Oryctolagus cuniculus: one gene and its partners. The main gene of each other region encodes a partner of the protein of the gene in region 3 in a complex. Links are inferred from orthologs where the notes say so. Each region holds a gene or a part of one and is shown on either strand. Other genes may lie near its edges.

Region 1 (3,749 bases), on a different chromosome or scaffold from region 3:
TCATCACTCAGCCTTGTGGATCAAGGGACGGGATGCTCAGAACAGAGGTGTCCCCACGGAAGCCACTCCTTTATGACAAAAGGCCACAGCCCACGGTTCAGCTGAGTTCTCCTTCAGGATATTTTATTTCTGGGGTCTCAGAGGGTCCCAGAGCCCAGAGGCTGGCAGCTTCAAAGATCCAGGGGGTTGAGTCCAAGCTGGCGCAGCTGCTCCTTGTGTCTGGCGTGGAGTCGCAGTGCGGCCTCGTCCCACTGGGGCTGGGTGGCCCTCAGCTTGGCCAGGAGCCGGTCCAGGCTGCCCTGCGGATACCAAGCTCCCAGTCCCCAGGAAGAGAGGGCGGCTGCCTTGTGAGCTCTCCCTGCCAGCATTCTTCCTGGTCTAAGGGAGTGGGCACCGTGGAACTCCCTCTGCCTGTGCTAGGGACAGAGCAGGGGTCCCTTGGAGTCCCTTTCTTCTCTTCCCCCCGGGTTGTCAGTCATCACCCTGTGGGGCTCGTGGAGGTGGCGGGGTGCTCACGTGTAAGATGTCCTCGTACTTGGCTTCCATGCTGGCCACGTGGGCCCGAAGCTGAGCCAAGGTGTGGTCCCGCTCTCCGAGGGCCCTCGCTGCCTCCCCCTGTGCAGCCACAGCCTCCCTCTGGCAAGTCTCTGGGGAGCAGAGCAGAGGATGGGAGAGGACAGGACGGTGAATTTGGTGCTTGCACAGTCTCCAAAGGCACCTGAAAAGGAGGCTCTGAGTGTGTTCATTTCAGACTCCGCCCAGGTCAGCGACCTCCTCATAGTCCCTGCAAAGAGCTGAAGGTCCATTGAGGTTTATGAGTAGTGAGCTTGGAGAGGAGCTGGGGGCTAAGTCTGGTTGTCACTGTTCGTGTAAGCTCACGCATGTCTCCCTAAACCCCAGTTTCTTCTTTATTTGAGAGGCATCTGTGGGCACTTGCACACACACACACACACACACACACACACACACACACACACACACCATGGCTCCTCTCTGCTGGTTCACTCCCCAAATGCTTGCAACTGAAGTCAGGAACTTAATCCATGTGTCTGACGTGAGTGGCAGGAATCCAACTACTTGAGCCATCAGCTGCTGCCTCCTGGGGTGCACAGTAGCAGGAGTGGAGCTGTGACTCAAACCTTGGAGCTTCAAAATGACATGTGGGCCACCCAGTCAGCATCTTAATTGCTACACCAAACACCTACCCCAGTTTCTTCATCTTAAAGGGCAAATGAGGGGCCAGAGTTGTGGTGTGGTGGGTTAAGCCACCACTGTGACACTGGCGTCCCACACCAGGGTGCCAGTTTGAGTCCCAGCTGTCCCACTTCTGATCCAGCTCCCCGCTAACGCACCTGGGAAGGCAGAAGAAGATGGCCCAGGTGCTTGGGCCCTTGGAAAACTTGGATGGAGTTCCTGGCTCCTGGCTTCAGCCAGTCCCAGTCCTGGCTGTTGTAGCCATTTGGGAAGTGAACCAGTGGATGGAAGAACTCTCCTTTCTGTCTTTCAAATAAATAATTTTTTATATTGAGAGAGAGAGAGAAGGAAGAGAAGAGAGAGAAGAGAAGAGAAGAGAAGAGAAGAGAAGAGAAGAGAAGAGAAGAGAAGAGAGAAAGAGAAAGAGAGAAAGAGAAAGAGAAAGAGAGAAAGAGAAAGAGAAAGAGAAAGAGGTCTTCCATCCTCTGGTTCACTTCCCCAATGGCTGCAACAGCCAGGACTGGGCCAAGAAGCAAGAGGGAAGAGAAGCAAAGGCTTCCTGGCTTTTATATTTTTGCTTATATAGAGAGTTTATCCACTTATTTAGGAAAAAGGATCTACCAGGTGGTAGGCCTTAGAGATATAGAAGTTAAGAAGCCTAACATTTTCCCTTAGTTTCATTGTAAAAATTAGCTAACCTGAGAAGGGAGATGAAGAATATTTCAGAAAGTTAGAAGGAAATATGACTGGAAATAATGGCCAGCATTATGGTGCTGTGGATTAAGGCACCACTTGTAATACCCACATCCCACATGGGAGCATTGGCTCAAGTCCTGGTTCTTCCACCTTTGGTCCAACTTCCTGCTAATGTGTCTGGGAAGGTTTTGGAAGATGGCCCGTGTACTTGGGCCCCTGCCACCCATGTGGGAGACCAGATGAAATTCTAGGCTCCTGGTTTTGGCCTGGCCCAGCACAGGCCATTGCAGCCATTTGGGGAGTGAACCAGCAGATGGAAGATCTCTGTGTCTCTGTTTCTCTTTCTCTCTCTGTAACTCTGCCTTTCAAATAAATAAATAAATCTTTTAAAAAATGCATAGATTTTCAATGTTTCTTGCACCTAAGCTTATCCTGTAATTCCATTTTTCCATGAGTATTTTGATGTGCTCTGATATGCCCTGGAGAGACGTGGCAGTGGCAGGGAGTGAGGTGACAGCTGGGTCTGGAGATTCCAGGCAAGGGGGGATAGGGCGAGGTGTGCCTCTTCCTTACTTTGCCCTAAAGGGTCTTTTTTTATTTTTATTTTTATTTTTATTGTTATTTTTTGACAGGCAGAGTTAGACAGTGACAGAGAGAGAGAGACAGAGAGAAAGGTCTTCCTCCCGTTGGTTCACCCCCGAAAAGGCTGCTACGGCCTGTGCGCTGCGCGGATCCGAAGCCAGGAGCAGGGTACTTCCTCCTGGTCTCCCATGTGGGTGCATGGCCCAAGGACCTGGGCCATCTTCCACTGCCTTCCTGGGCCGCAGCAGGGAGCTGGACTGGAAAAGGTGCAACCGGGACTAGAACCCGGGGTGCCAGCGCCCCAGGCGGAGGATTAGCCTAGTGAGCTGCATGCTGTCCTCACCTCTGCCTGATCCTCACTGCGGGAGCCAAGGTTGGGGGAGGGGAAGACGATGGCAGCCTTCTAGGAGAAGACCTAAGTTTGCCCCCGCACTGAACCTGGATCTTGTCAGCCTCCCTTGGAGAGGAAAGGCCCAGGGCAGGGCGGGGCACCTACCCAGCTGCTTGCGGAGACCCCTCACTTCCTCCTCCAGCTGCTTGCTGCGTCTCTCCATCTGCTCCTGCAGGGCCCTGCACCGGCGACTCATCTCTGGAGGGAGGACGGTGGACGGCCAGGGATGGAGGAGGGATGGAGAAAGGCAAGGAGTTGGGGGCGGGAAGGAACTGTGTGGTCCAGGAGACAGGAGCCCAAGGAACTGCTCAGTTCCTGTGATCCTGGGATGCTGGGAGACCCTGGACACCTGGGGAAAGGGAAGGACACCAGGCCGCCTCCCCACTCCGGCTTAGGATCAGGGCCCCAGCCCATCTGCCCGCTCACTGCTGCTGAGTGAATGAAACAGTGGCTGGGACTGCGTCCTGTGTCCCCCAGTGCAGCTGGCACTGACACTGGCCCCAGGCACCCTGGAAGGTCCCTGCCTGCGAGCCCAGAGGCCTCCTTGCATCCACCAGGAGTTGCCTGCTTTGTGCTACGCAGGGAAGGCTGAGACCGGGCCCGGCAGTCAGAAGCCCCTCTTATCTTCTCCCAGGCCCTTGTGTCCTGCCCAGCTGCTGAACCGACCACGCACCTGCATATACGGCCTTCCCCTCGCTGCGGGCCTCTTCCAGTTCAGCCTCCAACTCTTGCAACCTCTGCTTCAGCCTTTCTTCAGAAGCCTTGGCTCGACGGGCCCCTTCCCCCTGTAGAGCTGCGAGCGGTCCCGGAGCCCTGCTCAGAGCCTGCTGAGGGCCGCTGAATCAGCCCCAGAGGGCTGGATGGCCTTTCCTGTCTCTAGAAATCC
Region 2 (2,978 bases), on a different chromosome or scaffold from region 3:
AGCTCACAGTTGTGGAGGTTCACAGTCCAAGCTCTGGGAGCTCCATTGGCTTGGTTCTGATGAGGGTGATGGATGGCAAGGACAGAGCTAGGATCACACGGTGAGGCAGCAAGCAGAGAGAGAGAGAGGCTGGGCCCAACTCAGGCTTTTATGGCCAACCTACTAGCAAGAACTACCTTGTGAGACACACCTCCAGCGATCTAAGGATCTCCCATTAGGCCTACCTCCTAAACACCATAACTGGTACAAGTCTGCACCCTCCTAATACCATTAACTTATGACTTTGGGGACCAAACCTTTTACATATGGGCCTTTTGGAGATAGTCAACCTTAAAGCTAAGATCCAGACTATGGTAATCCGCAAATTAAATTTTATAAAATAGGGGATTGTAATCTCAAATGAGATTGAGTAATTGACACTCATAAGAAATTAATAATAATTTCAGTAATTCTCCTTCCACATTGATTGTTCAAGTGTTAATTGTTTAAAAAGGAAGCCTGCATCATTTGCTACTCATTTTGAATTTTTGGTCACCCATCCTTTCTCCAGATCTTTATATGCCAAACCTTAGGTCATTACAGACATTCTTTATTTTGTCAGTTTAATTAATTTGAAGATAACATGGATTTTATTGTCAAAAATAAGAATCTATTTTGATGTTTTCAGAATAGTTTTTAAATAATTCACAATTGATCATTCCATAGGCAAGGCACAGCAAAAAGATGTTTTAAATTATTATGACAATCTTTTTTAAAAATCTTGAAATAGTTCTATCATAAGATATTTAATCAGCTATAGGAATTACTGGCTAAAATGTGAAATTAACAAGGACAAACAATTTTTTAAATTGTCCTTTCAATTAGAAGTGAAGTCTTCAGAACATTTAACTGTCATCTATCATCATGGTTGTTATATAGTCCTTGTAATGAATTGCATTTGTTTCTGGATCAATCGTAGCTGCCAACATTTCTTCCATTTCCTCTTGTGAAAAAGGTTCACCTGGGAAGGACAAGAAGGAGAATCCATCACTGACAGCGACCTGATTTTTTTTCTTTTCTCTCCACCGGCCAGCTTAACCGCCTAGCAGCCCCACAAGGCCCCAGTGTGTCACTAGGCGCTCTCCTGGAAGCTATGGACCAGCGCATCATGAAGCCCAGAGGTCCCGGAAGCAGGCCCTGGCACACTGTGGCGGATCTGGGACCTGCAGTTTCACAGATAACCCTGCAGATATCACAGATCAGGCAACCTAGGAAGCTGGCACTTGGGCCAGACAGCAGGAGGACAGAAAGATACCAGGAACCGGGTTTGCTTGTTTACTTATTTAAATTTCAAAACTGTTCAAATTGCCAAAGGATTAAGCCAAAGTTTGAGTCTTATGGGGCACCCAATCATTATTTAGAAAGAGTATGGAGAGATGATTAGATGTTTATTGCGCAAAATTGCCGAAGAGGAAACAACAGAGACCAGAAACTGTAATGATTTTATCTCTGAATGTCTCTAAGCCAGATCTGGCTAACTGAGCGGAGCCAGGCAAGCCAGTGAGAGACGCCCTTCATCCACCATTTAAAAACCTACTTTGCTCCAGTGTTGGTTTTAAATAAACCCAAGAGATGGATAGAAAATCTGTAGGTGTTAGGTGGATGCAGATAACAGATGAGGGCCATCTTAAAGACGCAAACTCAGGAAGGTTGGAAAGGCTGCAGACCATTTAACACAGCACTTTGTCCTGACATTAAACAAAAATACAGGTATCCTAAGCATCTTATCCGTAAAGTTTCTTATCCAAACAGGTGAGTTATCAAAGCCTGAGGCTTCCCTACTTCATGCACTTAAATCACCTACTATTACAATGGTTTCTAGGTTGGTGTTCAGTTAATAGAGAAGTTACTCAAATAGGAATTTTGATGACGATGAACATAATATTGTCAAACGAGACCATGCCTACGTCCAAAATATTAAAGTGACAAATTCTGAATACTCGATTGTTAAATGCTAAATCTACTGCCAAATGAACTCTGATGTATTTCCTTACAAGAACACAAATAACAGAGAAGTGGGTGTTCAGCCAAGGAGTTCAGACACCTGCCTCCCATATGGAAGTACTCAGGTTTGATTCCCAGATCCTGACTCCAGCTTCCTGCTAGTGCGGACCCTGGGAGGCAGTGGTGACAGCTAAAGTAACTGAGTTCCTACCACCTATGTGGGAGACCTGGATTTAGTTCCCAGCTTCTGACTTTGGCCAATGCCAGCATTTGGGGAGTGAAGCAGCAGATGGGAGCTCTCCTCTTTTGTCTCTCTCTGCTTCTCAAATAAAATAGACTTAAAAAGAAAAAAAAAAAAAAGAACAAGAATGGGCCCAGCATTTAACACAGCAGGTTAACCAGAGGCCTGCAGCACTGACATCCTGTATGGGCCCTGGTTTGAATCCTGGCTGCTCCACTTCTGATTCAGCCCCTGCTAATGCACCTGGGAAAGCAGCAGCAGATGGCCCAAGTCCTTGGGCCCCTGCACCCACGTGGGAGACCTGGAAGAAGCTCCTGGCTCCTGGCATACGTCTGGCACAGCTGTAGCTGGCTGTTGCAGCCATTTGGGGGAATGAACCAATGGACGGAAGATCTCTGTCTGTCTCTCTTTCCCTAACTGCTTTTCAAATAAATAAATAAATCTTTAAGAAAAAAAAGAATAATAGTAACATTTATTGAATACTGCTGTACACCAGGCACTGATCTAAGTGCTCACAAATACATTAACTAAATTAATCTCCCAATTACCTTATGAGAGGTAAGAACTGTTATTATTCCCATTTACAAGTGATGATATCAGTAGCATACAAAGGAAGAAGGCAGACTGCCCCTGCGAGTAAGCAGTGGAACTAGGGGCCAAACACCAGCAGTCAAGTTCATGATCTGTAAGTCGAATGAACTACCACACACTACCACTTAGAACAATGCCTTGCTCACAGTAAAAATACTGAAGG
Region 3 (3,649 bases):
CTGCCTCGCTGGGTGGCTAGGGGATTTAAACGGGCTAATTCAGATTGGGCACCTGCACCAGAGCCTGGTACTCAGGGAGAGCCCTGTGCGCGCGGCCTGGGCTCAGTCCGGGACCTCGGGATGGGAACGATGTCTTTAAAGAGGCACTGAAGCTAAAGTGGTTGTGGAGCAGCCCTAACCCAGCTTGACTGCTGTCCTTATAAGCAGCGGGGGTTGGGACGGGGACTCAGAGGGGAGGCTGGGTGAGGGCCCAGGGAGAAGGCGGGCTCGGGCCCTGGTCCTACCAACACCTTGACCTCTGGCTTGCAGAACGGTGAGATCATGACTGTCTGCTGTTGAACCACTCCACTGGTGGGATGTCCTGAGAGCAGGCCTAGACCTGTCATTGCCGCCGTGAGCTCGACCAGGAGCCCCTCCCCCATTTTACATACTGGAAACAACCCTGAGGCTGCCCAAGACCTCAGAGCTGTAACTAAGGCCTGTGACCACCACCCACAGGCCCTCACGCGGACCTGCCAGGAAGGCCCCTGCTGACCCGGGGAAGGTTCTGGTCAACGACCTTTGGAAGACCTCCTAGGACAGACAGGAAAGGCGTGGCAATGGGTGGGCACCGAGGAACGGCCGGCCCTGGGGCTTGTGCAGAGGGCTTTTATGTCTCCATTCCCAAAGGAGCAGGGCCACCCCTGAATGGGTGGGAGGTCCCGGGCTGGTCACTGGGCCTGTGTAGGCCTCAGTTTGTCTATCTGCTTAGAGGAGCCTATAACCGGCCTACTGGTCTACCTCTGCATAGACGCACCTGCTAGTAAGGTGGCCATCAGGCTGCTGGGAGTGGGACAGGGGCAAGGCCTCCCATGCGCTCCCCACCTGTGGGCCACGGGGACTTACCAGGTTTTCCACGTCATCATCATCGTTCACTCCGGAGTCATCATCCTCGGTCAAGGACAGGTGGGGCTTGTCGGTGCCCAAGACCATGTATTCCCACCTCACAGGGTCTCCCAGGTCAAAGACCAGGTCCTGAAAGGGTGGGGGAGTTCTGAGTGCGCCCCTCAGCCGCTCACACCCCCACTCGCTCCGTGGGGAGGCAGGGCCGTGGGCCTGGGCTCAGGGAGGCAGACCGTCAGCATCCTCCTCCTCTCAGCGGGGAGGGGGCAGGAACCCCCTCCCATAACCAGTCCCCGGTGAAGAAGACCCCAACTGCTCCCTGGGAGAGCCCAGGGAACTCTCCGGCTGGGCCAGGCCTGCACACGCGCTCACCCAGCCCCAGCTCGTGCAGGAAGCAGGGAGCCCCAGAGGGGGCACATATGGAAGCTGGCCAGGTGGGGATCTCTCCTCCCTGGCATGGCTCGGGTATCCTCCACCTTCCCCTCACCCAGCCCACCTGAGGCCAGGGCCACAGGAGCCTCAGCAGTTCCCAGCTGCCCCCAGGGCAGGCCCCTCCCCCTCCACACCAAATTGTGCTGCCAGGGAGATCCAAGGTAAAGGACAACTGCCCACCGGGGTGTACCCTAATCCTGCTCTCGGAGGGGGAGGGGTGGGGGATGGGGGCGAGACCCCTCACAGCTGAAACAGGGCTTGGGGCGGCTGAAGCTTAGTGGAGAGGATCCTGGTCATTCAGATGTCTGCATTGCTTTCAGTGGTCACTTTTATGTAGCGACTAGTGGTGAGACATTGTCCTTTGCTCCTTTCACTTAAAACTCTATCTCTGTGGCAGAAGCATAAGCGGGGCAGGTGCTGGTGCAGAGAGTAGGATGTCGCTTGGGATGTTTGCATTTTTTATTTTATTTGAAAGAGAGGTAGAGACAGAGACAGAGAGGTCTTCCATCTGCTGGTTCAGTCCCCAGAGGGCTGCAATGGCTGGAGCTGTGCCAATCCAAAGCCAGGAGCTTCCTCCAGGTCTCCCATGTGGGTGCAGGGGCCCAAGGACTTGGGCCATCTTCTACTGCTTTCCCAGGCTACAGCCGAGAGCTGAATCTAAAGAGGAGCAGCCAGGACTAGAACCAGCGCCCACATGGGATGCTGGCACTGCAGGCAGCGGCTTTAACCCACTATGCCATAGTCCCAGCCCCAGATGCTTGTATCTTATCACAGCCACTGAGCTTGAGACCTGGCTCTGCTTCAGATGCCAGCGTCCTGATAATGTGCACCCTGGGAGGCAGCAGGTGATGGCTCACGTACAAGGGTCTCTGCTACCCACACGGGAGACCTGGATGGAGTCCCCAGCCCCCGCCGCCTGGGCATCTGGGGAGTGAACCAGCAGAGGGAAGATCATGGTCTCCTGTTTCCCTGCCTTTTAAGTAAATAAAAGTCCTTAACATAAAGCAGAACCGACTGGACGGGCTGCAGCCTATGGCCCAGGGTGTGTCCACACCGGGCAGTCTCTATGGATACCTCACCAGCCTCCCCTCCCCCTAAAGCTACTTCCAGTGGCTTTGAAGGAAGAAAGGAGCCATTCCGAGGCTCAGGTGGCACGAAGGGTGCCAGCCAGCGTCCTGATGCCGTCCTCCATGCCCTCACTTGCTGACGCGGTCCTGCCCTTCCGATCTCACTCCCGCCTTCGTCCCGCAGCATCCGGCATCCGGGACCCCTGTCACTCATCTCCTTTGCCAGGCACTGGCGTGGAAGGAGGCCACGGTCTCCTGGGACACGGGACCCTAGCAGTCACAAGCCTGGGCTCTGGGCAGGGCACTCTTGGCTCTGCCCTGACCCTGTTGCGTGGAAGCAGTCATTTCACTTCCTCAGGCCTCAGTTTGCTCACCTGTAAAATGGCTCACATCCAGTGGAGAGCCAGCAACTCTCCGACACCCCTGCTGAGTGTTCTTTCCCACACCCTGTGAGGTCGCTGAGGGACGAGAGCACCTAGGCTCCAGGCACAAGGAGGGGCCAGGGGCGTAGGGGGTGCCTTTCTTTGCTGAAGGCAGAAGTTCATCTTTCTCCCAACTTCATACTTCTACACGGACTGCACCAGAGCAGTCCCGTGTCTGCTCCCGCCGTCTCCCACAGGGGGCGCCCCAGGCCCTTGCACAGGGGAATGCAGTCCCAGAGCAGAAGGGGCTTCTCCATGGCGTCCCAGCCACTGTGATGGGGGCCAGGTGCCTGGTGAGCCAGACCCCCGGGGTCTTGCCCATGGCAAGGCGCCTCCAATCTGAGGAGGAGGAGAAATCAAGCCAGCTGGACTTGAACTTGGACAGGCAGGTGCCATGTCCCCACGCTCCTCATTTTCCCGGGTCCTCTGTTTCTGGCCAGGCCGGTTTCCCAGAGATCCTGGCCTTTTGGCTCTCTATTGCACACTTCCCAGATGTCCAGGGCTGAGCCAGGCCGAAGCCAAGAACCTAGAATGCCATCTTGGTCTCCCACATGGGTGGCAGGGGCCCAAGCACTTGGGCCATGCTCTGCTCCCTTCCCAAGCACATTGCAGGGAGTTGGCTCAGAAGTGAGGCAGTGGATTAAAAGGACAATAACACACACATGCAAAAATAAATCTAGGGTGGCTATATTAATATCAGAAAAAATAGATATCAGCACAGAAATATTATTAGAGCTAAAGATGGTCATTTCAGAATGATTAAACGATCATGACGGTGGCCAGTGCTGTGGCGTAGTGGGCTAAGCCTCCGTCTGTGGCACTGGCATCTCATATGGGCGCAGGTGT

Evidence for each region. The genes of interacting proteins can lie anywhere in the genome.
Region 1: DRC7 (region 3) and DRC12 share a complex: the UniProt entries of both Homo sapiens proteins name them as parts of the nexin-dynein regulatory complex. The link is inferred for Oryctolagus cuniculus from reciprocal best matches to the Homo sapiens genes DRC7 and DRC12.
Region 2: DRC7 (region 3) and EFCAB2 share a complex: the UniProt entries of both Homo sapiens proteins name them as parts of the nexin-dynein regulatory complex. The link is inferred for Oryctolagus cuniculus from reciprocal best matches to the Homo sapiens genes DRC7 and DRC8.

The regions. Positions count from the first base shown.
Region 1 is NC_091432.1:111,116,936-111,120,684, reverse strand, and holds the end of DRC12 (dynein regulatory complex protein 12), read right to left. Parts: intron 3,657-3,749; coding exon 3,537-3,656; intron 3,062-3,536; coding exon 2,969-3,061; intron 648-2,968; coding exon 517-647; intron 300-516; coding exon 171-299; 3' UTR 103-170; downstream 1-102. UniProt on the Homo sapiens protein: Component of the nexin-dynein regulatory complex (N-DRC), a key regulator of ciliary/flagellar motility which maintains the alignment and integrity of the distal axoneme and regulates microtubule sliding in motile axonemes.
Region 2 is NC_091444.1:65,095,774-65,098,751, reverse strand, and holds the end of EFCAB2 (dynein regulatory complex protein 8), read right to left. Parts: intron 1,001-2,978; coding exon 885-1,000; 3' UTR 569-884; downstream 1-568. UniProt on the Homo sapiens protein: Component of the nexin-dynein regulatory complex (N-DRC), a key regulator of ciliary/flagellar motility which maintains the alignment and integrity of the distal axoneme and regulates microtubule sliding in motile axonemes.
Region 3 is NC_091449.1:41,191,836-41,195,484, reverse strand, and holds part of DRC7 (dynein regulatory complex subunit 7), read right to left. Parts: intron 1,015-3,649; coding exon 886-1,014; intron 1-885. UniProt on the Homo sapiens protein: Component of the nexin-dynein regulatory complex (N-DRC) a key regulator of ciliary/flagellar motility which maintains the alignment and integrity of the distal axoneme and regulates microtubule sliding in motile axonemes.